Saccharomyces cerevisiae S288C: one gene and its partners. The protein of the gene in region 1 interacts with the protein of each later gene in a biochemical or structural test. Each region holds a gene or a part of one and is shown in the gene's direction. Other genes may lie near its edges. The genes, in order: HSP104, YDJ1, SUP35 and TOM70.

Region 1 (8,337 bases):
CGGTAGAAAGGGTGTTCTGGTTTTATCTGCGTTTGGATTTGCCCTTTTCCAATTTGCTGTCGCTACTGCTGAGAACCTGCAAACTATTTTCATATGTAGATTCTTTGGTGGTTTTATCGGGGCAGCACCCATGGCCGTCGTCCCCGCCGCGTTTGCCGACATGTTTGATACTAATGTTAGAGGTAAAGCCATTGCGCTATTTTCTCTAGGTGTTTTTGTAGGCCCCATTTTATCGCCTGTCATGGGTTCTTATATCGCACAAAGAACTACCTGGAGATGGTTAGAATATGTTGTCGGTTGTTTCGCTTCCGCAGTTTTCGTTGCCATCGTATTGTTCTTTGAAGAAACACATCACCCTACCATTTTGGTTAACAAGGCCAAACAGATGAGAAAGCAAAGTAATAACTGGGGTATTCATGCTGCTCATGAAGACGTGGAGCTATCCATCAAAGACATTGTCCAAAAAACTGTGACGAGGCCTATCATTATGCTTTTCGTGGAACCATTGCTACTATTCGTGACTATTTACAACTCTTTTGTCTACGGTATCTTGTATTTGTTACTGGAAGCCTACCCACTTGTCTTTGTGGAGGGTTATGGGTTTACTGAAAACGGTGAGTTGCCATACATCGCCTTGATTATCGGTATGATGGTGTGTGCTGCTTTCATTTGGTATATGGACAACGATTATTTGAAAAGATGTAGAGCCAAGGGGAAATTAGTGCCCGAGGCCAGATTGTACGCAATGGTCATTGCAGGTACCGTTTTCCCTATTGGTATCTTATGGTTCTGTTGGACGGGCTACTATCCTCACAAGATTCATTGGATGGTCCCCACAGTAGGAGGGGCCTTCATCGGGTTCGGTTTAATGGGTATTTTCTTGCCATGTTTAAACTATATCATTGAATCGTATCTATTGTTGGCAGCTTCTGCCGTCGCAGCAAACACTTTCATGAGGTCTGCATTTGGTGCATGCTTCCCATTGTTTGCAGGATATATGTTCCGTGGCATGGGTATCGGTTGGGCTGGTTTGTTATTAGGTCTATTTGCCGCTGCGATGATTCCCGTGCCTTTACTATTCTTAAAATATGGTGAATCTATCAGAAAGAAATCCAAGTATGCTTACGCCGCTTAAGAAAAAGAAAAGCAGAAATCATGCTCTTTCTATATTTGCATTTTTTTATTTCATTGTTATTACTCACCCTGCCCCACGCTCAAAGGGCTCGATAACGACATAGCATTATAGACACTGTGCAGCGTAAAGCTGACATATAAAGAAATTACAAAAAAAAATTAAAAAAAAAAAAAAAAACAATCAAAAAAGACACACAACTACAGAACAAAGGAAATCTTTTTCTATGCACAAGCACAAGAGTACTTAGAGAGTAGTGATATCCCCTTTTTTTTCTACTATTTTTTTTTTTCCCATTTTTTTCCTCCAAGACTCCTCTTATGTGGTTGTTATGTATAGCCCATAGTTACTAAATAAAACACTAATTAATGATTAATAATCCCTCTCTAATAAGAAATAGATAAAAGCTATTGTTCTTCTCATCGCCGGTTCTCGGCGTTGTCCGTACCCTTGGCCGAAACTCGGGCGGGGGCTTATTAGTCATACCCTCAGATTTCATTGGTCAGATAACAGTCACCCGGTAAATGCCCGTTTAATGACTTCTTTATTTTGGATTAAAATTGACAGGGAATTTCAACGGAATAAAGGAAAGAGATTGAGATGCTTTTAATTCATAAAGGAAAGGGAAAGAGGACAGGAAAGCAAGGAAGAGTAATGGAATTTTGCAAATATTTGTAAATCCTTTAGAATTACTAAGAAACTGTTATTTATTGACATTATTTTACTCGTCTTATTTATTTATTTATACATTTGGCCACCATTTTTGCACTCGTACGAAAGACCATTTTAGATTTTTTTGATTTGGTAGTATAACAAACGATCGGAACAATAACGTAACATAATGATAAACACAGGAAGAAGCAGGAATTCAGTACTGCTGGCACACAGATTCCTTTCAACTGGAGGATTTTGGCGAGGCGGTACGAATGGCACAATGTCTCGCACAATCAACAACGTAAATCCTTTCAAATTAAAATTCATACCGAAGACAGTGCCCGCAGCTGCAGACTCTGTCTCTCCAGATAGTCAACGTCCAGGTAAGAAGCCCTTCAAATTCATAGTTTCCAATCAGAGCAAGAGTAGCAAGGCTTCTAAAAGCCCGAAGTGGTCGAGCTACGCATTCCCTTCGCGTGAGACCATCAAATCTCATGAGGAGGCCATCAAGAAGCAGAATAAAGCTATAGACGAGCAAATAGCTGCTGCAGTATCCAAGAATGACTGCTCTTGCACAGAACCTCCCAAGAAAAGAAAGAGGAAATTGAGACCAAGAAAGGCGCTGATCACCCTGAGTCCGAAGGCAATCAAGCATTTAAGGGCACTGCTAGCTCAGCCGGAACCTAAATTGATTAGAGTTAGCGCTAGAAACCGTGGATGTTCAGGACTAACGTACGATCTACAATATATCACCGAGCCGGGGAAATTCGATGAGGTAGTAGAACAAGATGGCGTTAAAATTGTCATCGATTCAAAGGCGTTATTCAGCATCATTGGAAGTGAAATGGACTGGATCGACGACAAGTTGGCCTCTAAGTTTGTCTTCAAGAATCCAAACTCCAAGGGCACATGCGGTTGTGGCGAGAGTTTCATGGTTTAAAAACCTTCTGCACCATTTTTAGAAAAAAAGAATCTACCTATTCACTTATTTATTCATTTACTTATTTATTTACATATTTATCATACATATTAACATTGAACCCTCCATCGTGGTAGTGTTTGCTGTTCCTAACTTTTCTTTCGTTGTTCTTGTAGATATATATTTTTCCAGAATTTTCTAGAAGGGTTATTAATTACAATCTTAAACGTTCCATAAGGGGCCGCGATTTTTTTGTTCAATTTTCAACAGGGGGCCCATCTCAAAGAACTGCAAATTATATCACAGTAAAAGGCAAAGGGGCGCAAACTTATGCAACCTGCCAGATTATTATATAAGGCATTGTAATCTTGCCTCAATTCCTTCATAATTCGTTCCTTTGTCACTTGTTCCTTTTTACCCTTGAATCGAATCAGCAATAACAAAGAAAAAAGAAATCAACTACACGTACCATAAAATATACAGAATATATGAACGACCAAACGCAATTTACAGAAAGGGCTCTAACGATTTTGACGTTGGCTCAAAAATTGGCTTCGGATCATCAACATCCACAATTACAACCTATACATATTCTAGCTGCCTTCATTGAAACGCCAGAAGATGGATCAGTCCCTTACCTACAGAATCTAATTGAGAAGGGCCGTTACGACTATGATCTTTTCAAGAAAGTGGTTAATAGAAATCTAGTAAGAATTCCTCAACAGCAACCTGCACCTGCGGAGATAACTCCAAGTTATGCTTTGGGGAAAGTCCTTCAAGACGCTGCTAAGATTCAAAAACAACAGAAGGACTCATTTATAGCGCAAGACCATATATTGTTTGCTCTATTCAATGATTCGTCTATTCAGCAAATATTTAAGGAAGCTCAAGTAGATATTGAGGCCATCAAGCAACAAGCTCTTGAACTTCGTGGTAACACTAGAATTGACTCTCGTGGCGCTGATACGAACACACCTTTGGAATATTTATCAAAGTACGCCATTGATATGACTGAGCAGGCTCGTCAAGGTAAACTTGACCCTGTCATCGGCCGTGAAGAAGAAATAAGAAGCACTATTAGAGTTTTAGCAAGAAGAATTAAGTCCAACCCATGTTTAATTGGTGAGCCAGGTATCGGTAAGACCGCTATTATTGAAGGTGTTGCTCAAAGAATCATTGACGATGACGTTCCCACTATCTTACAAGGCGCTAAATTGTTCAGTCTAGATTTGGCCGCATTAACCGCAGGTGCTAAATACAAAGGTGATTTCGAAGAAAGATTCAAAGGTGTTTTGAAGGAAATCGAAGAATCAAAGACTCTAATTGTGTTATTCATTGATGAAATTCACATGTTAATGGGTAATGGTAAGGACGACGCTGCTAACATCTTGAAGCCAGCTTTGTCCAGAGGCCAATTGAAGGTCATCGGTGCCACCACCAATAACGAATATAGATCTATTGTGGAAAAGGATGGTGCCTTTGAAAGAAGATTCCAGAAAATTGAAGTCGCTGAACCAAGTGTGAGACAAACAGTGGCCATATTGAGAGGTCTGCAACCAAAGTATGAAATACATCATGGTGTAAGGATTCTGGATAGCGCCTTAGTCACTGCTGCTCAATTAGCCAAGCGTTACTTGCCATATAGAAGATTGCCAGATTCTGCTTTGGATTTAGTTGATATTTCTTGTGCTGGTGTCGCCGTCGCAAGAGATTCTAAGCCAGAAGAATTGGATTCCAAGGAACGTCAATTGCAATTGATTCAAGTAGAGATAAAAGCTCTAGAGAGAGATGAAGATGCCGACTCCACCACTAAAGATAGATTAAAGTTAGCTAGGCAGAAGGAAGCTTCATTGCAAGAAGAATTGGAACCTCTAAGACAACGTTACAATGAAGAAAAGCATGGCCATGAAGAATTGACACAAGCTAAAAAGAAATTGGATGAACTGGAAAACAAGGCCCTTGATGCTGAACGTAGATATGATACTGCTACCGCCGCTGATTTAAGGTACTTCGCCATCCCAGATATCAAAAAGCAAATCGAAAAGCTTGAAGATCAGGTTGCTGAGGAAGAGAGACGTGCTGGTGCCAACTCCATGATCCAAAATGTGGTCGATTCAGACACCATTTCTGAAACAGCTGCAAGATTGACTGGTATCCCTGTTAAGAAGTTGTCAGAATCTGAAAATGAAAAATTGATTCATATGGAACGTGACTTATCATCTGAAGTCGTGGGCCAAATGGATGCCATTAAAGCTGTTTCCAATGCCGTTAGATTGTCTAGATCAGGTTTAGCTAATCCAAGGCAACCAGCATCCTTCTTATTTTTAGGTTTGTCCGGTTCCGGTAAAACTGAATTGGCTAAAAAAGTTGCTGGATTTTTGTTTAATGATGAGGACATGATGATCAGGGTCGATTGTTCTGAATTAAGCGAGAAGTATGCGGTCTCTAAGTTGTTGGGTACCACGGCAGGTTATGTCGGGTACGATGAAGGTGGCTTTTTAACTAACCAACTGCAATACAAACCATACTCCGTTTTGTTATTCGATGAAGTAGAAAAGGCACATCCTGATGTTTTGACTGTCATGCTACAAATGTTGGATGACGGTAGAATTACTTCTGGTCAAGGTAAGACGATCGACTGTTCCAATTGTATTGTCATCATGACTTCCAATCTAGGTGCTGAATTTATCAATTCTCAACAAGGATCAAAGATCCAAGAATCTACCAAGAATTTGGTCATGGGTGCTGTTAGGCAACATTTCAGACCAGAATTTTTGAACAGAATTTCTAGTATAGTCATTTTCAACAAGCTATCTAGAAAAGCTATTCATAAGATCGTGGATATTCGTTTGAAGGAAATTGAAGAGAGATTCGAGCAAAATGATAAACATTACAAGTTGAATTTAACTCAAGAGGCCAAGGACTTCTTGGCCAAATATGGTTATTCCGATGATATGGGTGCACGTCCACTGAACAGGTTAATTCAAAACGAAATTTTGAACAAACTGGCACTAAGGATCTTAAAGAATGAAATCAAGGATAAGGAAACTGTCAATGTCGTCTTGAAGAAGGGTAAATCTCGTGATGAAAATGTTCCTGAGGAAGCTGAAGAATGTCTGGAAGTTCTACCAAATCACGAAGCTACTATAGGGGCTGACACGTTAGGTGATGACGATAATGAGGACAGTATGGAAATTGATGATGACCTAGATTAATTTAATATAGTGTGATTTTTAAAAACTTTCGAACAAGAATCAGTAATATAATATATATAATTAATAAAACTAATGGAATTTGTTTAATTGAACTTGACACCCGAGCAAAAGAGCTCACATTTTAACGTTTAGTTCATCTTGCTGTGAATAATCTAAAAGTAAACAATGGACAAAAAAGTCCACTGGACGTCAAATCTTTTTTTATTGTATTTGGGACATATGGCGTTGATAACTAAAGTTTAAAGGAAGTAATAAGTGAAGGTTAAATCTGGACCTCTTTACTTTCATATTAGAAGTATAAAACACACGCGGATTGGTCCATTATTAGAATACGGGTACTACAATAATGGTTTTGATAGTTACTGTACATTTGAATGTAGCGACTCATATGACTCATATATATGACTACCAAATCATGTTAAAATTAGTATATCTTTAACTTAGACTTCAGTACTATCTGAACTGCACGTTTAAATTTTTACCATAGCAGTTCATGTAATATTAATAATCACTTGTGCCAATATAATGTTACAGCGAACATTTTTCCATGCGCTTGGAAAATTGAATGATAGAAAATTCGAACAGCGATGATTTCCAACGATGTAATCCATTAAGATGATTGTTAGAATTTCTATTGTTGCAGAGGTCATATGATATTAAGAACACAGCACAATATATTAAAATTTCTTCTCGAGGATATTGAGAAATGGGTGAATTTTGAGGTAATTGTTGGGATTCCATTGTTAATAAGGGCTATAATATTAGGTATACAGAATATACTAGATGTTCTCCTCGAGGATCTACGAATCCTCATAATGGAATCAATATTTCTATATACTAATATTACGATTATCCCTCATTCCGTTTTATATGTTTCATTATCTTATTACATTATCAATCCTTTCACTACAGCTTCCTCTAACCTCGATGACAGCTTCTCATAACCTATGTCATCATCTAACACCGTATATGATAATATAGTGATAGTTATAACTATTAGTTGATAGACGATAGTGGATTTTTATTCCAACAGATATAAGAATTACAAAAAGAGAACTGTTATTTCTACATAATAATATTACGATTAGTACTCCTTTTATATGTTTCTTTATCCATTTACATTATCAATCCTGATTAAAATTCCCACGAACCCCCAGTACTAGATTGTTCATAATGGATCAAGTTCACAAGTTAATAAGGGCGTGTGGTCTAGTGGTATGATTCTCGCTTTGGGCGACTTCCTGACTAAACAGGAAGACAAAGCATGCGAGAGGCCCTGGGTTCAATTCCCAGCTCGCCCCTTTATTTTCTTTTTTTGGACCCAAAGCACTAGCTTAGGCTGTCCATCTTTGTTCTTGATTCTAAAGATCACAGTAGAATAATGGTTTATTTCTTAGAGTTCTACAAGTTTTAGCGTACTACTGAACAATGAATGTCCTGATTTTTTAAAACTCGCGCATATTTGGAGGCCATATCGTGCCACCAACTTTACTACAGTCAAACACCTGTGCCCAATTCTACCACTTATTAAACAATTACTTAGTAAGATCAGCAAGCGGTTCATCTGTCCCCCATTCATATATGGCTTTCACCCTCTTTACCTGTTTGAAACAGAAAAAAAATTACAACTAATGGTATGCAATTCATAAAGCATAGGCCAAAAGACCCTGATACAGATATATGCTAAAACAATAATTATAAAGGATTATGCCGTAGGAAGGCTGAGAATCCTCAGTTTGTGCACTTTGAAATTCAAAATACAAAAAACTGTTGACAAATTAGTATCATAACTATCTATCGCATATATTCACGTCACATACCGCCTCTGTGGCAATTGACAACACTTATCCCTATCAAAGACAATACAAAGTATTTGTTACCGAGTGAGATTATTTAGTACAATATGTGGGTAATAAAAACTAATCGGAGATATTTTTTTACGTTTTTTGATGCAAACGCAATAAATTCTTGATTTTTGAAATTTTGCAGGACATCAAGATACGTTTCTTTTAAGCAGTTTGGATTGCTTCTTTCGTTCCGAAAGTAAAACGTAATGAAAACCCCTATAGTATTGTGACGCGTTTTCCAACTCTGCCCTTAGCTTGATTTGACGGCTTAGAACAAAGGAACAGTAGCACGAACACTTCAAGTGCAAATGACAGTTTAATTGTGGGTAAAAAAGGTAGCCTCAAAGTTGCATTTTTTATGGACTGTAAAGAACATACGATTGTTATACACTTTTGAACAACCAAGATGTACTACCTCAATTGTAGTGAATTAATGTCGAAATTTGTTAGATGCCCCGAATAAATAGTAACTTTATTTAGGGAAAGCACTCGAATTTTTGTTATTACGGTCACGCCATATTTTAGCATGTACTTAGTAAAAGACCCATTTCGCCATCACTATTTTTACCA
Region 2 (6,721 bases), on another chromosome or scaffold:
CAATTAGCTTTGTGCCCACTGAGTGCGGTTGCTAAATGTCTTATAGTCCCAAAGGATGCAAAAATCTGGTGTAGTATTCGCCCTTTGGGAGTGGCCTTAAACCCATATACGACTCTTGCTTTCCCATTCGAGTCATATTTCAAACCAATAGACCAAATACGGCTGAGATATGAATCTTCTTTAATGCGCCTCTCCACGTAATTAAACTGTTCAACGTCTCCAATCTCATAAAAGAAGGAGTCTGTCTTCGGCAGCCAATAATTTACTAGATTTATATAGCATTCAAGCTCACCCACTAGCGCTAGCCTTGGTTCGAACAGCTTTACGGAAGTTTTAACATCTCTATTGAAGTCACGCTTTCGAATGTAGGGGGGGTTACCGGTTAATATATCTATATGGGATGGATATTCATCGCTAGCTTTTGAGGACAATATATTATGTTGCACGAGCTTACCACCACTCACCTTGTTTTTCAGCATATTTTCTTTAACCAACTTAATTGCTCTTGTTGACACGTCAATGGCAGTGAACGTGCAATTTGCTATACCATGACTCAAAGCGAGAGCAATACACCCTGTTCCTGTAAACGTATCACAAATATGCAGTGGTATAGTATGCCTTGAAAGCATAGAGTTGTTTAGAGCTCTTATTATGGCCATCACCCATTCCTCGGTTTCCCATCTTGGTATAAGAACACCAGGCTTGCAAACTATGTCCAAGGCCCCAAACGGTTGCGATCTTAAGATGTACTGCAATGGGACGTGTTTGTATCTCTGTAAGCAAGCCCAGCGGATTGATTTATCCGGAGGCAGCTCTTCGGTGAGCCATTTGTACTCGAGTTTCGCTTGCTCGAGAGTCCTACATTCTGGAAGCAAAAGATGCAAACCAGGTCGTATTCTCGAAGCTTTTCTTATCAATGATGTAGATATTCGAGGCATATGTTCTTTCTAACCGTTTCTTTTTCGTTCCTACCATTCAACTATCGCTCCTTGTCTACGAGTTAAGGGGAAGAGAGTGCAGAGTTTCTAAAAGCACTTGAAAACGTAACAAGACATTGACCGTAGAGAGTCGGCAAAATAAAGTCGTTTATACACGTTTGAGTTGTGTGTATTCAACTATGGAATACATTGTTATAATGAGTATGTTGGTATAAAATAAGATGTGAAGTCGCTGGTTTGAGCACGTGATATACACCTGACCTATAATATTTCGTACAAAATTATAGAAGGCCATCGAAAAAATAGAAAATTTTTTCATTTCTTTTTCAAGAAATGAAAAGGCAATAGAGCATCGGCAGGTATGGAAAGTATTTAACTTGCAGATCAATCCACGTACTTATAAAACGTGTAAAAACTTGCTCTACGTTTATATGTTGGTTAGGTAGTTCTTGTTTGATAAGGTGTGTAGTTCGTTTTTATAAATCAAAGTCACAAAAAGTCCTTTTCCCCATATATATTAGGCCCGAACAAGCGTCTTATTTGATAACTGTTACGTATTTATTTTTTTGTTATTTGTTACCATATCTTTTGATAGAACATAATTAAAAATTATCCAAACTGAATTCTACATCTTCCAACAACAATAATAAACGTCCAAAGATGGTTAAAGAAACTAAGTTTTACGATATTCTAGGTGTTCCAGTAACTGCCACTGATGTCGAAATTAAGAAAGCTTATAGAAAATGCGCCTTAAAATACCATCCAGATAAGAATCCAAGTGAGGAAGCTGCAGAAAAGTTCAAAGAAGCTTCAGCAGCCTATGAAATTTTATCAGATCCTGAAAAGAGAGATATATATGACCAATTTGGTGAAGATGGTCTAAGTGGTGCTGGTGGCGCTGGCGGATTCCCAGGTGGTGGATTCGGTTTTGGTGACGATATCTTTTCCCAATTCTTTGGTGCTGGTGGCGCACAAAGACCAAGAGGTCCCCAAAGAGGTAAAGATATCAAGCATGAAATTTCTGCCTCACTTGAAGAATTATATAAGGGTAGGACAGCTAAGTTAGCCCTTAACAAACAGATCCTATGTAAAGAATGTGAAGGTCGTGGTGGTAAGAAAGGCGCCGTCAAGAAGTGTACCAGCTGTAATGGTCAAGGTATTAAATTTGTAACAAGACAAATGGGTCCAATGATCCAAAGATTCCAAACAGAGTGTGATGTCTGTCACGGTACTGGTGATATCATTGATCCTAAGGATCGTTGTAAATCTTGTAACGGTAAGAAAGTTGAAAACGAAAGGAAGATCCTAGAAGTCCATGTCGAACCAGGTATGAAAGATGGTCAAAGAATCGTTTTCAAAGGTGAAGCTGACCAAGCCCCAGATGTCATTCCAGGTGATGTTGTCTTCATAGTTTCTGAGAGACCACACAAGAGCTTCAAGAGAGATGGTGATGATTTAGTATATGAGGCTGAAATTGATCTATTGACTGCTATCGCTGGTGGTGAATTTGCATTGGAACATGTTTCTGGTGATTGGTTAAAGGTCGGTATTGTTCCAGGTGAAGTTATTGCCCCAGGTATGCGTAAGGTCATCGAAGGTAAAGGTATGCCAATTCCAAAATACGGTGGCTATGGTAATTTAATCATCAAATTTACTATCAAGTTCCCAGAAAACCATTTCACATCAGAAGAAAACTTGAAGAAGTTAGAAGAAATTTTGCCTCCAAGAATTGTCCCAGCCATTCCAAAGAAAGCTACTGTGGACGAATGTGTACTCGCAGACTTTGACCCAGCCAAATACAACAGAACACGGGCCTCCAGGGGTGGTGCAAACTATGATTCCGATGAAGAAGAACAAGGTGGCGAAGGTGTTCAATGTGCATCTCAATGATTTTCTTGATAAAAAAAGATCAACTTATTCACGATTCATTTATTCATCATACTTTTCACTTCAAAATACAGTTTTGTAGCTATACATATGTAAAGTAATAATGGTAGAAAATGCAGTTTACCAAAAAAAGTTCTAATTATGACGAAATCTTAAGGAAAGAGTAAAGCAGGGATTATATGCTGAAATTTCCACTGTATATATTTGCCACAGAAAACCATTTTTTGTATTAGGTATATTTAGTGCACCTTTAACATGTCAATAATTCAACGGAAAATTAACGAAGTAAATAATACATTAATTAGGAAAAATTTACATGAAAGTCTATAAGCTGTTTATAAAAAAAATATGCAGGGATAAGTGTCTATCAAATTGAAGAATGCCAATTAATTATGATTATCGTTCTGGTCTCTTTTTGTTCCCTTTTTGGCTTTGACTGCCAAGGTGTTTAACCAAGACTGTCTTTGTTGTTTCAATAATCTATCCTCCCTCCACTTCATACCATATTTCATCGGAATAAACATTAAGAAGTTGAAGAAAAATACCAGCGCACATAAAAATGTAAAAGTACCACCTACAGTCATCGCAGCTTTCATTTTGGCAAAGCAACCCATGAAGATGGTACTCAAACTGCACCTAACAAAGTTGAAACAACTACTTGCTGTAGATGATTTCGTTGGGTACAAATCGACCAATAACGTAGTTGATGTTGATAATGTACTCATAGCACAGTATGAACAGACAAATGAAGTAATTAAAATAGATTCGATCCTCCAGCCCTTATCTATACTCCAACCAAATAAAAGATAGGCTACGACGGCCAAGAAATTTTGGGGCAGAAGACAAACTAAACGGACTTTGAACATATTAATCTCTGCGTCTTGTGGAATCAACCCGTTAGCTTTGTCTTGCTCGAATTTCTTGATCTTTCTCTTGAAATACATGTCAATAATTCTACCTGTGAAGAAGGAACCCATTAAACCGCCAATACCACCGGGTAGATAACACACACCAATAATGACCAAATGATAGTTGTATGGCGCCACTGATAAACCGGATGAAATAGAGGAAAGCATTAACGTCCACATAGCAAATAAGAGCCCTGATGGAAATAAAGACAGAATAATTTCTGGCAATACAAGGATCTTCCCGGCGGATGACAAATCTAGTTTCGGAATGGTGGGATCTAATGTCTCATAATCAGGATTATCGTACTTGAATCTCCTTCTAACTGGGCCCAGTAGGAAAATCGGCGCTCTGTTGATGAATCTTTTAGGCTTAATGGAAAGGTTACCTGCAATGGTTCGCTTTGTTTCTGGCAAAATAAGAAAGGCAATTAGAAAACAACTTCCACAACCAATGGTCAAAAACCAAAAGATAGCTCTCCAATCCCACCTTGCAGTCAGGACGGCACCAATAAGACTACCAAAACATTGACCCAGTAAAACAAACCCTGAGGTGGCGCCAACAAATGTACCTCTTTCATGCTTCAAAGTGAAGTCCCCGACAACACCAGAACTGATTGCAATTGTGGGGGAAATACCAATACTCTGAATACACCTCAAGAAGATAATAACACCGTATGATGGAGCACATGCTAGCCCGATGGATGCAATAACGTATATCAGCATACCTGCTAAAATTATAGGTCTCCGTCCAAAGCAATCCGCCAGACCACCGCTAACTGTGGGAGATATACCTTGAAACAACAGATACACAACCACAGTAACGTTAACCATATTTTCATCCACATTAAATTGCTTTTCCAACTGCCTCAAAGCGGGATAATAGATCGGTGATCCCAATGAAGACCAAAAGCCACACATTGTTAGAATTGCAACCATTCCCCACTTCTGACCGTAACTTAGTAAAGTATATGGCGCTTTTGTCTCTGCAGTTATCTGTTGGGTTGGATCAACTTTATCATCACTGGAGTGAGAAGAAGTCTCAGAGTCTAAATCGCCTTCTATTTCCCTTGTGGTAGTCTTGGATAGAGTCCCGTGACTGTTGATATAAGCGCCTTCGAAATTTAGTTTTTCACTTTTCGTTTGACCATCTGGTTTTGTGTATTCTCTCGTCAGATGCTGCTCATTGTGAGTAGGATACATCTCAATATCTTCTGTGTATATACTGTTACTTCGTGACATTGCTGATTCGACTTTCTGAATCTAGCTTGGATTCTCAAAAAAATAAATTTATCTCCGTATAAATGCTAACTTTGTAAGCCTGGAAAAATCCATAATTTTATATAGAACGACAATATTAGCAATAAAAAGTTAGTAAAAAGTGTATAACCTTGACAGTGTTAAGCGTTATATAATATTGAGTATGATCAACTGTATCCTCGATGAGGGCAGAGAAGTTTCTTTTTCCTTGCCCTAAGGTGCCCGCAACTTCCCGGTGACGAGAAAAAGAAACGTTGGAACGGCTTCTCGTCTGAAGAAAACAATGCAGGCCGGGCATTTCACGGAACAAAAACGGTTCCATCAAGCCGGGTGATTCATAAATTATCCGATACCGGAACAAATCGGTGAGAGATTTTCCGATGGAGGACGGGTAACGAGCCGGTATTTACCGATCTATGGAGTTTCCGAGTCATTACGGGTCCTTTTGTTTTCGTGTATGCTCCCTTCCCCGTAAGAAGTATACGTAGGAAGTGCGGTCTGCGCTGGACAGTATAAAACGGAAACAGGAGTCATCGAGGGGCTCCGGATTTTTTTTTCTTTTTTTAGCATTTAGCCTAATTGCACATTGTGAATAGATTGCCGTAGTAGAAAAAAGCCTTAGGAGTAGATAGCATACGGCAACAGAACTACAAAAAAAAAAAAAAGAGATTTGATGTCTTTTTTTTTTTTTTGGGTGGTTTTTAGGACAATGAAAGAAGAGGTGTGCGATGTATGTAGGTTTTCAAATGTCTTTAATATTACAAAATAATTTATGTCTGGAAGAATGATAAATAGAAACAAAGTAAAAAAAAATTGATATTAATCCGGCGTGGGTTTTAGTGTATGTTAAACAGACAATAAAATGGACGGGCAGAAAAGAATGGGGTAATAATACAATCAACTTACTCAACTGTTGATGCGCCTAAGTTTAGTTGTATAGAACAAACTTAGCTTTGCCAGCAGTAACGGAAACGGTACAACCGTCAGAGCCACCGCTGAAGCTACCGTTTTCATAGATACATTCACCGTTGACTGTAGAAGAGTCATCAGCGGCGACAATTTTGACATTGAAATTCAATGCGTTACCGTTGTTTGGGTTGGGAATCAAAGAAAGGTAGGCGACACCATCAGAAGAACCAGCGCCAAAGTTCAATGGAGCCCAATTACCGACGCCTGAACTTGAAGAACCCCAAACACAAGCATCTTCGACAGAAATACCGGCATTGTTAACGTAGTATTGCGCGGATGTCTTCAATCCTTGCCAAGTGTAGTAGGTGTCCTGATCAACGACAGTCAAGGGTAAAGAGTCACCTGCTTGCACATATGTAGGAATCACCATGTTTTCGGTACCCGGGTAATCGGTCCTGCAGATAGCAACATCGTTGCTCAATTCAGAGACGACGTAAGCGGCATCAACGCCCCATTCGCATAAATAGTCAGTATCTGTATTTGAACGGTACAGGTAGCCGTCCTTACATAGCAAACCACCAATGGATCTGCCGTCAGATGGTTGGTCAGAAGGCCATTGTGTCTTGGACATACCTGGTTGGCAAGCGTATGAGCAGTAAGACCCTTCTTTACAAGAGCCACCCGTAGAAGTGTCAGTATTTTCAACACCAGACCAGCCACCTTCATCTAACCAGCTGATGGGGATAACACCTTGACCAGATGGAAATTGGCCGCAAGGAATGGTACCGTCTTCAAATTTTTCATATGGACCTGAAAAGTCAG
Region 3 (7,459 bases), on another chromosome or scaffold:
TCTAGTGCTGTTGACTATCAATGTCCTGATTGTTTAATCGGCAAAAGCACCAAACACAGACATATCAAAGGTTCACGACTAAAATACCAAAATTCATACGAACCCTTTCAATACCTACATACTGACATATTTGGTCCAGTTCACAACCTACCAAAGAGTGCACCATCCTATTTCATCTCATTTACTGATGAGACAACAAAATTCCGTTGGGTTTATCCATTACACGACCGTCGCGAGGACTCTATCCTCGATGTTTTTACTACGATACTAGCTTTTATTAAAAACCAGTTTCAGGCCAGTGTCTTGGTTATACAAATGGACCGTGGTTCTGAGTATACTAACAGAACTCTCCATAAATTCCTTGAAAAAAATGGTATAACTCCATGCTATACAACCACAGCGAATTCCCGAGCACATGGAGTCGCTGAACGGCTGAACCGTACCTTATTAGATGACTGCCGTACTCAACTGCAATGTAGTGGTTTACCGAACCATTTATGGTTCTCTGCAATCGAATTTTCTACTATTGTGAGAAATTCACTAGCTTCACCTAAAAGCAAAAAATCTCAAAATTCCCAATATTCACATAGTCTAAAGTACCGATAGCAACCAACATATATAAACAGTAGTATTTTACGAAGCTGAATTGCAAGATTAGTGAGAGGAGAATAACCGGATAATTTTTTTGGATTACGTTATTGTTAAAGGCTATAATATTAGGTGAAACAGAATGTCCTAGAAGTTTTTTTCTTTCATGTTAAATTTATTGATTCTTGCGCTTCAGCTTTTATAAAACATAAGAACTGTTTCTTCACGTTAACTTCTTGTGCCACATATAATGATGTACTAGTAATATGGGTACTATTTGGCAGATGATATTTGATTTTTATTCAAGACGGTTACTGTTTCTACGATTGATATTTTCATTCCTGGATATCATCTTGCCAGATCACTTACAATTTAGGCCGCGCCTGAATTGAAGAGTACTTCAATACGTAGTGTACTGTCCAAACTCTCTTCCAAATTTTTAATATTTAGCTGGGGTTGGGTAACAAGTGAGCAAGGGAAAAAGTGAACATTTTAAGAAGAACAATAAAATAGCAAGAGATGGAATGGTAATGCTTGGCTCTCGAGAAGAGTAGCATAAAACGAGACTTGTTTAAAACAGGATATGACATACTTCAATTCAGCTTTCCCTATCAGCCGCTCGAGCAGTTATATAGGTGTGTTGCCGGAGTAATTTGGCGGAGGCCAACAGTGGCTAGGCGGCAACGCCTGGAACACGCGCTTAAAAGTTCTGGAAGGTTCGCGAATTGAGAACTGCTCAGGGGCGAATACAGGGGCGGCCTTGGCGGCAGGGGGGAGGCCTCTGTGAAGTTAGTTATATAAGACTTGCTGTCATCGTTTTTTTGATCCCGGCAGGAACTATCTTTTATTCTCATACATACGGTCAAGAAGTATAATTATACATAACATAGGGACACGTTCAGGCAATTGTCCATATCCCACACAAATTAAGATCATACCAAGCCGAAGCAATGAGTTTTTATCAACCATCCCTATCTCTTTATGACGTTTTGAACGCATTATCCAACCAAACTGGCCAGAGAGGGCAGCAAGGATATCCTCGCCAACCACAAAGGCCACAGAGATACCATCCCCATTATGGACAAGTGCACGTTGGCGGGCATCATCCTCGTCATCATCCATTGTATAGCAGATACAATGGTGTTCCTAATACCTATTACTACCAGTTCCCTGGACAAGCCTATTACTATAGTCCTGAATACGGTTATGATGACGAGGATGGTGAAGAAGAGGACCAAGACGAAGATATGGTGGGTGACAGCGGCACTACAAGACAGGAAGATGGTGGCGAGGACAGCAACTCGAGAAGATATCCATCATATTACCATTGTAATACTGCCAGGAATAATAGGACCAACCAACAGGCAAACAGTTTAAACGACTTATTAACCGCGTTAATAGGTGTTCCACCATATGAAGGCACTGAACCAGAAATTGAAGCAAATACCGAACAGGAGGGCGAAAAGGGAGAAGAAAAGGATAAGAAGGATAAGTCTGAAGCACCCAAAGAGGAAGCTGGCGAAACCAACAAAGAAAAACCTTTGAATCAGCTGGAGGAATCGTCGAGACCACCATTAGCCAAAAAATCTTCATCGTTCGCTCACCTACAAGCGCCTTCCCCAATACCTGACCCGTTACAAGTATCCAAGCCTGAAACGAGAATGGACTTACCATTTTCACCAGAAGTGAATGTCTATGATACCGAGGACACTTACGTAGTTGTTCTTGCGTTACCAGGTGCTAACTCTAGGGCTTTCCACATTGATTACCATCCATCTTCTCATGAGATGCTCATCAAGGGTAAGATCGAAGACAGAGTGGGCATTGATGAAAAATTCTTGAAGATCACGGAACTAAAATATGGTGCGTTTGAGAGAACCGTTAAATTCCCCGTGCTGCCACGCATTAAGGACGAAGAAATTAAAGCTACTTACAACAACGGTCTACTACAAATTAAGGTGCCTAAAATTGTCAATGACACTGAAAAGCCGAAGCCAAAAAAGAGGATCGCCATTGAGGAAATACCCGACGAAGAATTGGAGTTTGAAGAAAATCCCAACCCTACGGTAGAAAATTGAATATCGTATCTGTTTATACACACATACATACATTTATATTTATAATAAGCGTTAAAATTTCGGCAGAATATCTGTCAACCACACAAAAATCATACAACGAATGGTATATGCTTCATTTCTTTGTTTCGCATTAGCTGCGCTATTTGACTCAAATTATTATTTTTTACTAAGACGACGCGTCACAGTGTTCGAGTCTGTGTCATTTCTTTTGTAATTCTCTTAAACCACTTCATAAAGTTGTGAAGTTCATAGCAAAATTCTTCCGCAAAAAGATGAATCTTAGTTCTCAGCCCACCAAAAGAGGTACATGCTAAGATCATACAGAAGTTATTGTCACTTCTTACCTTGCTCTTAAATGTACATTACAACCGGGTATTATATCTTACATCATCGTATAATATGATCTTTCTTTATGGAGAAAATTTTTTTTTCACTCGACCAAAGCTCCCATTGCTTCTGAAGAGTGTAGTGTATATTGGTACATCTTCTCTTGAAAGACTCCATTGTACTGTAACAAAAAGCGGTTTCTTCATCGACTTGCTCGGAATAACATCTATATCTGCCCACTAGCAACAATGTCGGATTCAAACCAAGGCAACAATCAGCAAAACTACCAGCAATACAGCCAGAACGGTAACCAACAACAAGGTAACAACAGATACCAAGGTTATCAAGCTTACAATGCTCAAGCCCAACCTGCAGGTGGGTACTACCAAAATTACCAAGGTTATTCTGGGTACCAACAAGGTGGCTATCAACAGTACAATCCCGACGCCGGTTACCAGCAACAGTATAATCCTCAAGGAGGCTATCAACAGTACAATCCTCAAGGCGGTTATCAGCAGCAATTCAATCCACAAGGTGGCCGTGGAAATTACAAAAACTTCAACTACAATAACAATTTGCAAGGATATCAAGCTGGTTTCCAACCACAGTCTCAAGGTATGTCTTTGAACGACTTTCAAAAGCAACAAAAGCAGGCCGCTCCCAAACCAAAGAAGACTTTGAAGCTTGTCTCCAGTTCCGGTATCAAGTTGGCCAATGCTACCAAGAAGGTTGGCACAAAACCTGCCGAATCTGATAAGAAAGAGGAAGAGAAGTCTGCTGAAACCAAAGAACCAACTAAAGAGCCAACAAAGGTCGAAGAACCAGTTAAAAAGGAGGAGAAACCAGTCCAGACTGAAGAAAAGACGGAGGAAAAATCGGAACTTCCAAAGGTAGAAGACCTTAAAATCTCTGAATCAACACATAATACCAACAATGCCAATGTTACCAGTGCTGATGCCTTGATCAAGGAACAGGAAGAAGAAGTGGATGACGAAGTTGTTAACGATATGTTTGGTGGTAAAGATCACGTTTCTTTAATTTTCATGGGTCATGTTGATGCCGGTAAATCTACTATGGGTGGTAATCTACTATACTTGACTGGCTCTGTGGATAAGAGAACTATTGAGAAATATGAAAGAGAAGCCAAGGATGCAGGCAGACAAGGTTGGTACTTGTCATGGGTCATGGATACCAACAAAGAAGAAAGAAATGATGGTAAGACTATCGAAGTTGGTAAGGCCTACTTTGAAACTGAAAAAAGGCGTTATACCATATTGGATGCTCCTGGTCATAAAATGTACGTTTCCGAGATGATCGGTGGTGCTTCTCAAGCTGATGTTGGTGTTTTGGTCATTTCCGCCAGAAAGGGTGAGTACGAAACCGGTTTTGAGAGAGGTGGTCAAACTCGTGAACACGCCCTATTGGCCAAGACCCAAGGTGTTAATAAGATGGTTGTCGTCGTAAATAAGATGGATGACCCAACCGTTAACTGGTCTAAGGAACGTTACGACCAATGTGTGAGTAATGTCAGCAATTTCTTGAGAGCAATTGGTTACAACATTAAGACAGACGTTGTATTTATGCCAGTATCCGGCTACAGTGGTGCAAATTTGAAAGATCACGTAGATCCAAAAGAATGCCCATGGTACACCGGCCCAACTCTGTTAGAATATCTGGATACAATGAACCACGTCGACCGTCACATCAATGCTCCATTCATGTTGCCTATTGCCGCTAAGATGAAGGATCTAGGTACCATCGTTGAAGGTAAAATTGAATCCGGTCATATCAAAAAGGGTCAATCCACCCTACTGATGCCTAACAAAACCGCTGTGGAAATTCAAAATATTTACAACGAAACTGAAAATGAAGTTGATATGGCTATGTGTGGTGAGCAAGTTAAACTAAGAATCAAAGGTGTTGAAGAAGAAGACATTTCACCAGGTTTTGTACTAACATCGCCAAAGAACCCTATCAAGAGTGTTACCAAGTTTGTAGCTCAAATTGCTATTGTAGAATTAAAATCTATCATAGCAGCCGGTTTTTCATGTGTTATGCATGTTCATACAGCAATTGAAGAGGTACATATTGTTAAGTTATTGCACAAATTAGAAAAGGGTACCAACCGTAAGTCAAAGAAACCACCTGCTTTTGCTAAGAAGGGTATGAAGGTCATCGCTGTTTTAGAAACTGAAGCTCCAGTTTGTGTGGAAACTTACCAAGATTACCCTCAATTAGGTAGATTCACTTTGAGAGATCAAGGTACCACAATAGCAATTGGTAAAATTGTTAAAATTGCCGAGTAAATTTCTTGCAAACATAAGTAAATGCAAACACAATAATACCGATCATAAAGCATTTTCTTCTATATTAAAAAACAAGGTTTAATAAAGCTGTTATATATATATATATATATATAGACGTATAATTAGTTTAGTTCTTTTTGTACCATATACCATAAACAAGGTAAACTTCACCTCTCAATATATCTAGAATTTCATAAAAATATCTAGCAAGGTTTCAACTCCTTCAATCACGTTTTCATCATAACCCTTCCCCGGCGTTATTTCAGAATGTGCAAAATCTATTAGTGACATGGAACTCAAAGAACCAGTTGTTTTTTTGTCCTTTGGTCCTTCGCTGCTTCCCTCGGCATCATCATCATCATCATCATCATTATCATCATCGTCGTCATCATCGTCTATAAAATCATCTCGCATAAGTTTGTCAACATCATTTAGTAATTCCCATCGCTCCGGGTCTCCTTCGTAAATAAACAAAAGACTACTTGATATCATTCTAACTTCTTCTTCTAGCATAGTATTATAAAACAACTGCAATCTTTTCAAAAATGTTTTCTTCAGTTGATGCTTTCTCGCATCCGACAGATGAGGATTGTTAAAATAAAGTTCAATTGCATCTGAAACATTTTGATCGGTTCTTGAACGACCATACAATTTGTTTATAAAGATATAATCACTGTCTGCTTCTTCTTCGTAATATTCGAGCGAAAGCTGATTCAGCACAGAGGGATTTTTCTGTATTTTCATGCCACATATCCTGAAACCCAAAGATCCTGAAGTCGTCGTCTCACTGACTCTTTTCATTCTCTCTCTTTTTTCCAATGATGCCTTCGAATCATACAAAGTTTTGCCTAATTTTATATCAAGTATATTAGGTTTACTAAATCCATATAGTAGATTTTCTAAAACGAGGTATTGCTTGGACTTCTCAGACTTTACAGGTATTGAATCAAGATTATCAGTGGAATCACTTAACCGCTCATCTATCTTCAGAAGCGCAGCATCGCCACTTTGCTCGATTTTTGCCCCTTCATTCAAGACTCCAAGATACGTGGGCATCCAAGAGCACAAGGGAGCATCTCCATCAGCCGAAGACTTTCTTCGACTCACATCTCTCACTTGTATGGCTTTGTAGAATTCCAGTTCCTGCGGAAAGGCCGGTTTAAAGATGAGCAATCCATCACCGTCTGTTAGAGTACCGTCGTGGCCAGCAGCTTTATGCTCTAAAACCCTATAATTGTTTACCGTATCCATGTGAAAAAAATTTCTACTTAGGCACACGTATGCACATATCCATGTAAGCTACTAATGGAAATTGTTTAACTGATTACTGGTAAAAAAGGGATCTCCAATGGCTTTATCTTATTCCATTTTGTCCCACCATTTGTATACAGTATAAAGACATTTTGGTGAGATACTTAGTTACCCAGCCTACTTCTGAGAAATATTACCCGACTCGATTATCTACCAATTGGCTTCGAGAACGTGGTTTTTCACCATTTTTTTTCCCGCTTTTTTTTTTCATCCGACCGTTGTGGCGGAGAGAAGCTTCCGGAAGGGAATTCACTCAGATTCTCTCCAGTACCACGGGGGGCAACTCTGCCTGGAACACTCTCTTCCTTCAAGAACTTAGCAAGAAGTACCAATTAGTCCCAGCGGGCCCTCAGGGCTGGTCTACTGCCTTATACTCTAGGATGTACATCCTACCACACACAACAAGCCTGTCACACCATGACTACAGATCCTTCTGTCAAATTGAAGTCCGCCAAAGACTCCCTCGTCTCCTCCCTCTTCGAGTTATCAAAAGCTGCTAATCAGACAGCCTCCTCTATTGTTGATTTCTACAATGCCATCGGCGACGATGAAGAAGAGAAGATAGAGGCTTTCACCACTTTGACTGAGTCTTTGCAAACATTGACTTCTGGTGTAAACCACTTGCACGGCATCAGCTCGGAGCTGGTTAACCCTATTGATGATGATAAAGATGCTATTATCGCTGCTCCAGTCAAGGCTGTAAGAAGAAAGATCGAACGTGATCCAAATGCTCCAAAGAAGCCACTGACTGTTTTCTTTGCTTACTCTGCGTACGTTCGTCAAGAACTTCGTGAAGACAGACAAAAGGCTGGCTTGCCACCTTTATCCTCAACTGAGATTACTCAAGAA
Region 4 (7,589 bases), on another chromosome or scaffold:
ATCGACTTTTGGCCAAACCAAATTCTTATCCTTGATACTGGTATTCAATAAGATTAAACAACCATAACACAATTTGACATCACCGTCTTCAACATCGAGGCTATTACTGGCACCCTGTTTGATTTCATTCAACAATTCAACATAATGTGTGTGAGATTGCCCTAATTTTGAATCTTGCCACTGTTTAAATAAATACTTTTCTTCAGTGGTCTCCACAGGATAAGGCGAAGTAACTGTGATCCTATTTAACCAATTGGATGGATTTGTGTATATTTTAGATTGACATATTTGACATTGTGACGGCTTAGCCATACTTGATTTAGGTTGCGTCAATTTATCTGCGGTTCTTAAAACTGTCGATATTATATTTGAATAATCGTTCTGAATATCCTGAAAGTATTTGTTGGTAATTTCGTTGATTGTCATATTTTTTACCAATTTTTGTTGACCAAGTGACGGCAGTGATTTTCTGGCGATCAAGCAATTAGGCTTCACATTAGTTTCTTCAACGTTAATGAGGAACTGTGCCAGATTTCTGATTTGTAAAAAACTTTCAATCTCGACGGATAATAGATCTTTCATAGGATATAGGTTTTTATACTTACATGGTTTATTATTCAAAGTATCAAATGATTCCGAGTCTAGAAACGTCGCTATTTGAGAACCTTTACCTTTTACCACAAGAGAAATAATTACTTCAGATAGCTTTGTCATGGAATGTCCCCACATTATGGCATTATAACCATTTTCGTATGCAAAATGCTTGATCAATTGAGTTTTTATAATCGATATTAAATCAGACCTGGATGAATTATTGAGACAGTATTTGCCTAATATTTCTTTTAATGTTAATATATTGCTATCATCTACTGACTTTGACTTGCTGAAAATCTCAAAATTTTCATTGTCAATGATAAAAGTCGATACTTCCGATGCATTGTTGAAAAATTCGTTAACATCAATAAAATGGACATTAAATATGTTGGATATTTTATTCAGTTGTGACATTTTTTCATTAATCAAGGATTCCATACGTTCTTTGATAACAGAAACATTTTCCTCGGTGAATACCGTGAGTACATCGACGGTAAAGCCTGTACGATTATTGTGTTGCTTAGTTTGTTCCAATAGCAAGTCGTGCACAATATCTAACATAACCAGAGATCCTGAATCAGAATGTGATAAGGGGAGCAGAATCTTAGAGACGGATCCTTCTTTTTCAAATGGGTATATAACTTTAAATAGGTTCCTGAAATATTCATCCTTCATCATTTGTTTCCTTTGTTTAGTACTAACAAACTTGATGAAACATTCATCGCAAAACTTTTCCTTTCTAGACTCAACTGTCGCTGGATTTCTGGCAGATGCAGGGCACCTCTGGCACTCCATAACTTGATAGAATTATATTTTTAAAACTAGGATAGGGATGGACAATAGCAAATACAGAAACCGAAGTTAATTTTATGCTCGTCTCACTCATCTCATCGGTACTATAACAGTTTTTCACTGCGTAACTGAAAAAAACTCCATAATACGTAGATAATGATGATGTAATTAAGTCAACTATTCAAAAATAATAAAGATGACTTTATTGAAAGAAACACTGTGCAGGCAACTTCAAATGTTTCCATAAGGTTCAACAGTGTTATATCATTTCAGAAACAAACATTCAAGGATTAAGTGGAAGGAAAGAAAGAGTTTCATTGCCATTAGTTTAAAATATACAATATCACTGTATACGATGAATAAGATGGCGTTAAACCACCTTTTGTGTTTGGACGACCAGTGGAAAAGATCTTAAAGGAATTAAGAGGAACTCCACCACTCACCATAAAAGAGAAGCAAGATTCGGAAGTGAAATTACAGCTCACATCTAGGTTCTCAATTGCCAATGAAGAGCTTCATTACAAGGAACAAGACAGCCATTTTGGCAACCGTTGCTGCTACAGGTACTGCCATCGGTGCCTACTATTATTACAACCAATTGCAACAACAACAACAACGAGGAAAAAAGAACACGATCAACAAAGATGAAAAAAAGGACACAAAGGACTCTCAAAAGGAGACTGAAGGTGCTAAGAAATCTACAGCCCCATCAAATCCTCCTATCTACCCGGTTTCTAGTAATGGCGAACCAGATTTTTCCAATAAGGCAAATTTCACCGCTGAAGAAAAGGATAAATATGCATTAGCGTTAAAGGACAAAGGTAACCAGTTCTTTAGAAATAAAAAATATGACGATGCTATTAAGTACTATAATTGGGCATTAGAATTGAAAGAAGACCCAGTTTTCTACTCGAATTTATCGGCTTGCTATGTTTCTGTGGGTGACTTGAAAAAAGTTGTTGAAATGAGTACTAAGGCTCTTGAATTAAAACCAGACTACTCAAAAGTTTTACTGAGAAGAGCTTCTGCTAACGAAGGGCTAGGAAAATTTGCGGATGCGATGTTCGATTTGTCTGTATTGTCTCTAAATGGTGACTTCAATGACGCCTCTATTGAACCAATGTTGGAGAGGAACTTGAATAAGCAAGCTATGTCTAAATTGAAAGAAAAGTTTGGCGATATTGACACCGCTACTGCTACTCCAACTGAATTATCCACCCAACCAGCTAAAGAACGCAAAGACAAGCAGGAAAACTTGCCTTCAGTTACATCCATGGCCTCTTTCTTTGGTATTTTCAAACCCGAGTTGACTTTTGCCAATTATGATGAATCCAATGAAGCTGATAAAGAGTTAATGAACGGTTTAAGTAATTTGTACAAAAGATCTCCCGAAAGTTACGACAAGGCTGATGAGTCTTTCACGAAAGCTGCAAGGTTATTTGAAGAACAATTGGACAAGAACAATGAGGATGAAAAGTTAAAGGAAAAATTGGCCATCTCATTAGAACACACAGGTATTTTCAAGTTCTTGAAAAACGATCCATTGGGAGCTCACGAAGACATCAAGAAAGCTATTGAATTGTTCCCAAGAGTCAATTCATATATCTACATGGCATTAATCATGGCTGATAGAAATGACTCGACTGAATATTATAACTACTTCGATAAAGCGCTGAAACTGGACTCAAACAATTCTTCTGTTTACTATCACCGCGGCCAAATGAATTTCATTTTACAAAACTATGATCAAGCAGGAAAAGATTTTGATAAAGCTAAGGAATTAGACCCAGAGAATATCTTCCCTTATATTCAATTAGCATGTCTAGCGTACCGTGAAAACAAGTTTGATGACTGTGAAACTTTGTTTAGTGAAGCTAAGAGAAAATTTCCAGAGGCACCAGAAGTTCCAAATTTCTTTGCTGAAATTTTAACAGACAAGAACGATTTTGACAAGGCTTTGAAGCAGTACGATTTGGCTATTGAATTAGAAAACAAGTTGGATGGTATTTATGTTGGAATTGCGCCTTTGGTCGGTAAAGCCACTTTGTTGACAAGAAATCCAACAGTAGAAAATTTTATTGAAGCCACGAATTTATTAGAAAAAGCGTCCAAACTAGACCCAAGAAGTGAGCAAGCTAAAATCGGTTTAGCTCAAATGAAATTGCAGCAGGAAGATATCGATGAAGCTATTACATTATTCGAAGAATCCGCTGATTTGGCTAGAACTATGGAAGAGAAATTACAAGCCATTACTTTTGCTGAAGCCGCTAAAGTTCAACAAAGAATTAGGTCTGATCCAGTATTGGCTAAAAAGATTCAAGAAACTTTAGCTAAATTACGCGAACAGGGTTTAATGTAAACAGTAAACATAAACTTAAAAACTTTTAGGAGAAGACAAAAACTAAGTAACAAAGTAGACTAAATGACAAAGGAAGAGCAGCAATGACATTGACATCTCACTTTGAAAATTTTTGTTTTCATTTTTGTTTCAATATACACGTATGCATGTTCTAATATATATATATATATCTTTTTCTTTTTCTCTTTCATTCTGTAAATAATTAGCAGTGCGTATAAACCACAACCAATTTTTTCAACCTTGAAGCCCTCGCCAATTTGCGGAGCCTAAAAAAATCTGGTCAAATACAAAAAAGATAGTATATATATCTATCATGAAAATTAGCTTGCATAACAAACGGCAACGAGGAGACCAAAACCAAAACATGTCTGTTTTCAATGTACTCAAACCACTACTTAAAGGTTCAAATAGTTTCAAAGTGAAGCTCAACGGCTTTCTATTCAATAACGTTTCTACAATAACAATAAGAACTTTAATGAAAACTCATAAAGGTACAGCAAAGAGGTGGAGGCGTACCGGTAATACTTTTAAAAGAGGCATAGCTGGAAGAAAACATGGCAATATAGGCTGGTCCCATAGATCATTAAAAGCCTTAACCGGAAGGAAAATTGCCCATCCAGCTTATTCAAAGCATCTAAAGCGGTTATTACCCTATCATTGAAGGTGGAATAATTATGTTCTCCTCTAAACCAAACGCACCGTTAACCCCAAATCAATTGTTTGAGTATTTGCTTTCGGTCTTCATGTATATAAATAAGTATGAAACAATAACCATAAATTTATACAATCGATAATACCTTAGAGAATTCAAGCGTTGAAGTAATTAAATACTATTTCGTCAGGCGCTTGCAACCATCTCGACATCATAATCCTAACCCCTCAAAATGATTGAAAAACTTGTAAATCTTAACGCTCCTGTGATAGTCTATAAAAAAACTGTTCTTTATGGAAGACTTTGATGTATACATACATACATACATATATAAATGTTTTATCAAATCTGGCCTATTTTTCACTTTGGCTGTTGCCGGTAAATTCCTTTTCAATCCATTTGTGCGTGATGTTGTCCCTCTTCAATTCTGCAGTAGGGAAGTAATGATAATTCGTTTTCAGTGAAATAGCGAAGGGCACATTGTCGAAAGTCATTAACCTCATTTTACAATAACTATTATCAGGGATTGTTTTGACAACTTTCAAAAATGTATCTAGATCAGGTGTTTCAATTTCATTGACATGAGTTATGAAGTTTGTGGCAGATATACCGTACTGGAGCGCCGGTGACGATTCTCCCCTGAATGTACAGTAGACACCCTTTGGAACATCAACCATAGCTTGCAAAACAGCATGATGCGGCTTTTGTAAGATACTACCTGCAAATATTACAAAACGGTCGGTTTCCTGAACTTCCACGGTTTTAATTTTCAAATCAACAATATTACCATCACGAACAACTTTAAAATCTAACATGGCTGATGGCAAAATACCATCAGCTGAGCTTACAACTCCATTCAAATCATTCATTTCAGTGACTAATTTTCCGTTCACAGATAAAATGACGTCACCGGTCTCTAAATGAATCTTGTCTTCTGTATAAGAAACTCTAGAAACAGTGATAAACTGTAGCCTGTTATTTGATTCATGTTCCATACGCATGATCCATTCTTCGGGCACACCTCTAATTCTGGCTTGCAGAACGGAAATTGAACCGAACCCAGCATCAACTATACTTACTCTTGGTTTACCGCCATTTTTTAAGATATCTATAACTTCCCTACAGTCCATTATATCTAATCCCATCAAATAAACCTTTTCTTTATTTTCTAATCTTTCGCCTAAAAATGGAAGCCATAAACCTCTTACTGTACCATCATTATCTGTCAAAATACCGGAATTACATCTGGTGCTAACGTTGCAGTCGATAGATATAGCTTCTAAATTAGTGGCACGGTACCTCGGAATTAAATTACTTGGAATACTTACAGAGGAAATATCGGTGACAGTGGTCTCTGAAGTAACAATTCTATCATTCTGGGTAAAACCTATAAACTGAAGCTTATCACCACGTTTCATTCTGGTGGTAGATAGCTTGGGAGTGATTAGTGGAGCCTTTACTAACTCTGGATCATATTTAACAATAGCGAAGTTGTGAGTTGGATGGAGAAATTCTACTGTGGCTGGAACTACAAGGGAATCTGCAATGGTGACAAAAGTATCAAGACAATCATGTGGAACTACCCTTCTGGACACTAGGACATAACCTTTTTCAGCATCAATGATTAAGCCTGATGTTTTTAAAATATCAGCAGAAAGTGAATCCAATGGAACTGCTGCCATTGTAGCCACTGTACATAACGATGATGACAATTTTGCAACTTTTTCATTATTAACAGGAATAGGAATAATTTTGGCCGAACGAGGTTTCAACGCATCGGCTGGAAGTGGATCAGCAACATTTTTGTAATCCCAAATACCAGTTGTATCGTTCCTTGTGTAAACTCTGAATTCATTGCACCAATGACGGTCAATGTAAATAGAAGTAACAAGTGGAGAATGCTGATCTGTTAGATGGTGGTATCGTACAGTAACGCGCTTACGATCTGGAATAGTTTTCATAATTTCAATAAATGTATCTAAGTCGGGGGTTTCCTTATTGTCTATAGAATCCACAATCCAACCCACTCTTTCTTTTGAATCAAAGTTGAAAGACCCTGATGCACTACTTAAAAATACACCCCTGACAGGTAGCGCATAAAACCTTGCCATTTGATATGATAATTCATGAAAAGTCGCACCACAAACCTCTACATAACGATGAGGGGTGATAGCATGTAAATCACCAACAGTGCAGGTGACAGTACATTCGACACCGCCCCTTTGAATAACCAATTGGATTTCCTTCCCAACATTTTCATCTTGAATTTTATCCACTTGCATGAAAGAAGATATGGTTTCACCGTTTATTGAAATTAGAGTATCACCTTCTTTAATTTTATCATAGCCTGGGCCTTCTCTTAAAACGGTTTCTGCTACCAACAGTCCGATATTTTCGGGAAATTTAGCACGAGCCTCACTTTCTCTCTCTGAAGTTAAACCTAATCTTCTACACTCGTCATAAGGCTTCAGCAGCCATTGAACTTGAATCGTACCACGTGTGATAGGTTTGTTGGTTTGGATGCAAATTAACGCTCTAAGAATTCTATCTAACGGTAAAAAAAAATCAGTAGATGCCTCTGTAGAGCCACCTGCCTGTAAAGCCACAGCATACCCATCTATATTTACGACTGGAGAACCACTTGAACCGCCAGAAGCAGATGCAGCAGCTTGAATATATTCTGTATTGAAGTCATTGTATGTCAGCTCACCATATTCTGGAGCGTTCCTGTCAATTCTACTAATAAAACCTGCTAGGATACTTAATTTCTCACCGGCATCATTACCGACAACTCTAATTTCTGAGCCGACCTTAGCCAAACTTGGTTTTAGCGTTAACGCTTTGATCTTAGAATATTTTATGTTTTTCGGATCGAATTTGAGGAACCCAAAATCATGAACAGGATCTCTGTAAATTGGTATAACATCGCATTCTTCATGATTATCGAAAACTACGTAGCCTACGAACGGACCAGGACCAACGACGTGCCTATTGGTCAGAATTATACCTAATTTAGCATCCACGACAAATCCGGTAGCTTCAGATACCAAAGCAGAATCGCAATCGAATGGCGCAACTTGTGAAAAATGAATGGAAACCACTGATTTAACAACGTTGGAGATGGTATTTTGCCATCTTAGATAATTTTCTGAATCTGTGAGTACAGTGTTATTATTATTAGCAAAGTGCAAC

Evidence for each region.
Region 2: the proteins of HSP104 (region 1) and YDJ1 form a complex in vitro, tested with the Saccharomyces cerevisiae proteins (2 studies listed by BioGRID).
Region 3: the proteins of HSP104 (region 1) and SUP35 form a complex in vitro, tested with the Saccharomyces cerevisiae proteins (7 studies listed by BioGRID, with this or other methods).
Region 4: the proteins of HSP104 (region 1) and TOM70 form a complex in vitro, tested with the Saccharomyces cerevisiae proteins (one study listed by BioGRID).

The regions. Positions count from the first base shown.
Region 1 is NC_001144.5:85,430-93,766, forward strand, and holds HSP104 (chaperone ATPase HSP104), read left to right. Parts: upstream 1-3,193; coding exon 3,194-5,920; downstream 5,921-8,337. Other genes in the region: polyamine transporter TPO1, read left to right, coding at 1-1,135; Fe-binding Fe/S cluster assembly protein ISA1, read left to right, coding at 1,974-2,726. UniProt on the Saccharomyces cerevisiae protein: Required, in concert with Hsp40 (YDJ1) and Hsp70 (SSA1) and small Hsps (HSP26), for the dissociation, resolubilization and refolding of aggregates of damaged proteins after heat or other environmental stresses.
Region 2 is NC_001146.8:501,975-508,695, reverse strand, and holds YDJ1 (type I HSP40 co-chaperone YDJ1), read left to right. Parts: upstream 1-1,598; coding exon 1,599-2,828; downstream 2,829-6,721. Other genes in the region: MTQ1 (S-adenosylmethionine-dependent methyltransferase), read right to left, coding at 1-938; AQR1 (Aqr1p), read right to left, coding at 3,212-4,972; putative glucosidase SUN4, read right to left, coding at 5,919-6,721. UniProt on the Saccharomyces cerevisiae protein: Probably involved in mitochondrial protein import. Is also required for efficient translocation of pre-pro-alpha-factor. Involved in heme regulation of HAP1, as a component of the high-molecular-weight (HMC) complex.
Region 3 is NC_001136.10:805,083-812,541, forward strand, and holds SUP35 (translation termination factor GTPase eRF3), read left to right. Parts: upstream 1-3,241; coding exon 3,242-5,299; downstream 5,300-7,459. Other genes in the region: heat shock protein HSP42, read left to right, coding at 1,539-2,666; ARG82 (inositol polyphosphate multikinase), read right to left, coding at 5,483-6,550; HMO1 (Hmo1p), read left to right, coding at 7,028-7,459. UniProt on the Saccharomyces cerevisiae protein: GTPase component of the eRF1-eRF3-GTP ternary complex, a ternary complex that mediates translation termination in response to the termination codons UAA, UAG and UGA.
Region 4 is NC_001146.8:394,840-402,428, reverse strand, and holds TOM70 (protein channel TOM70), read left to right. Parts: upstream 1-1,891; coding exon 1,892-3,745; downstream 3,746-7,589. Other genes in the region: NCS2 (Ncs2p), read right to left, coding at 1-1,389; mitochondrial 54S ribosomal protein bL35m MRP35, read left to right, coding at 4,059-4,406; NMA111 (Nma111p), read right to left, coding at 4,751-7,589. UniProt on the Saccharomyces cerevisiae protein: Component of the TOM (translocase of outer membrane) receptor complex responsible for the recognition and translocation of cytosolically synthesized mitochondrial preproteins.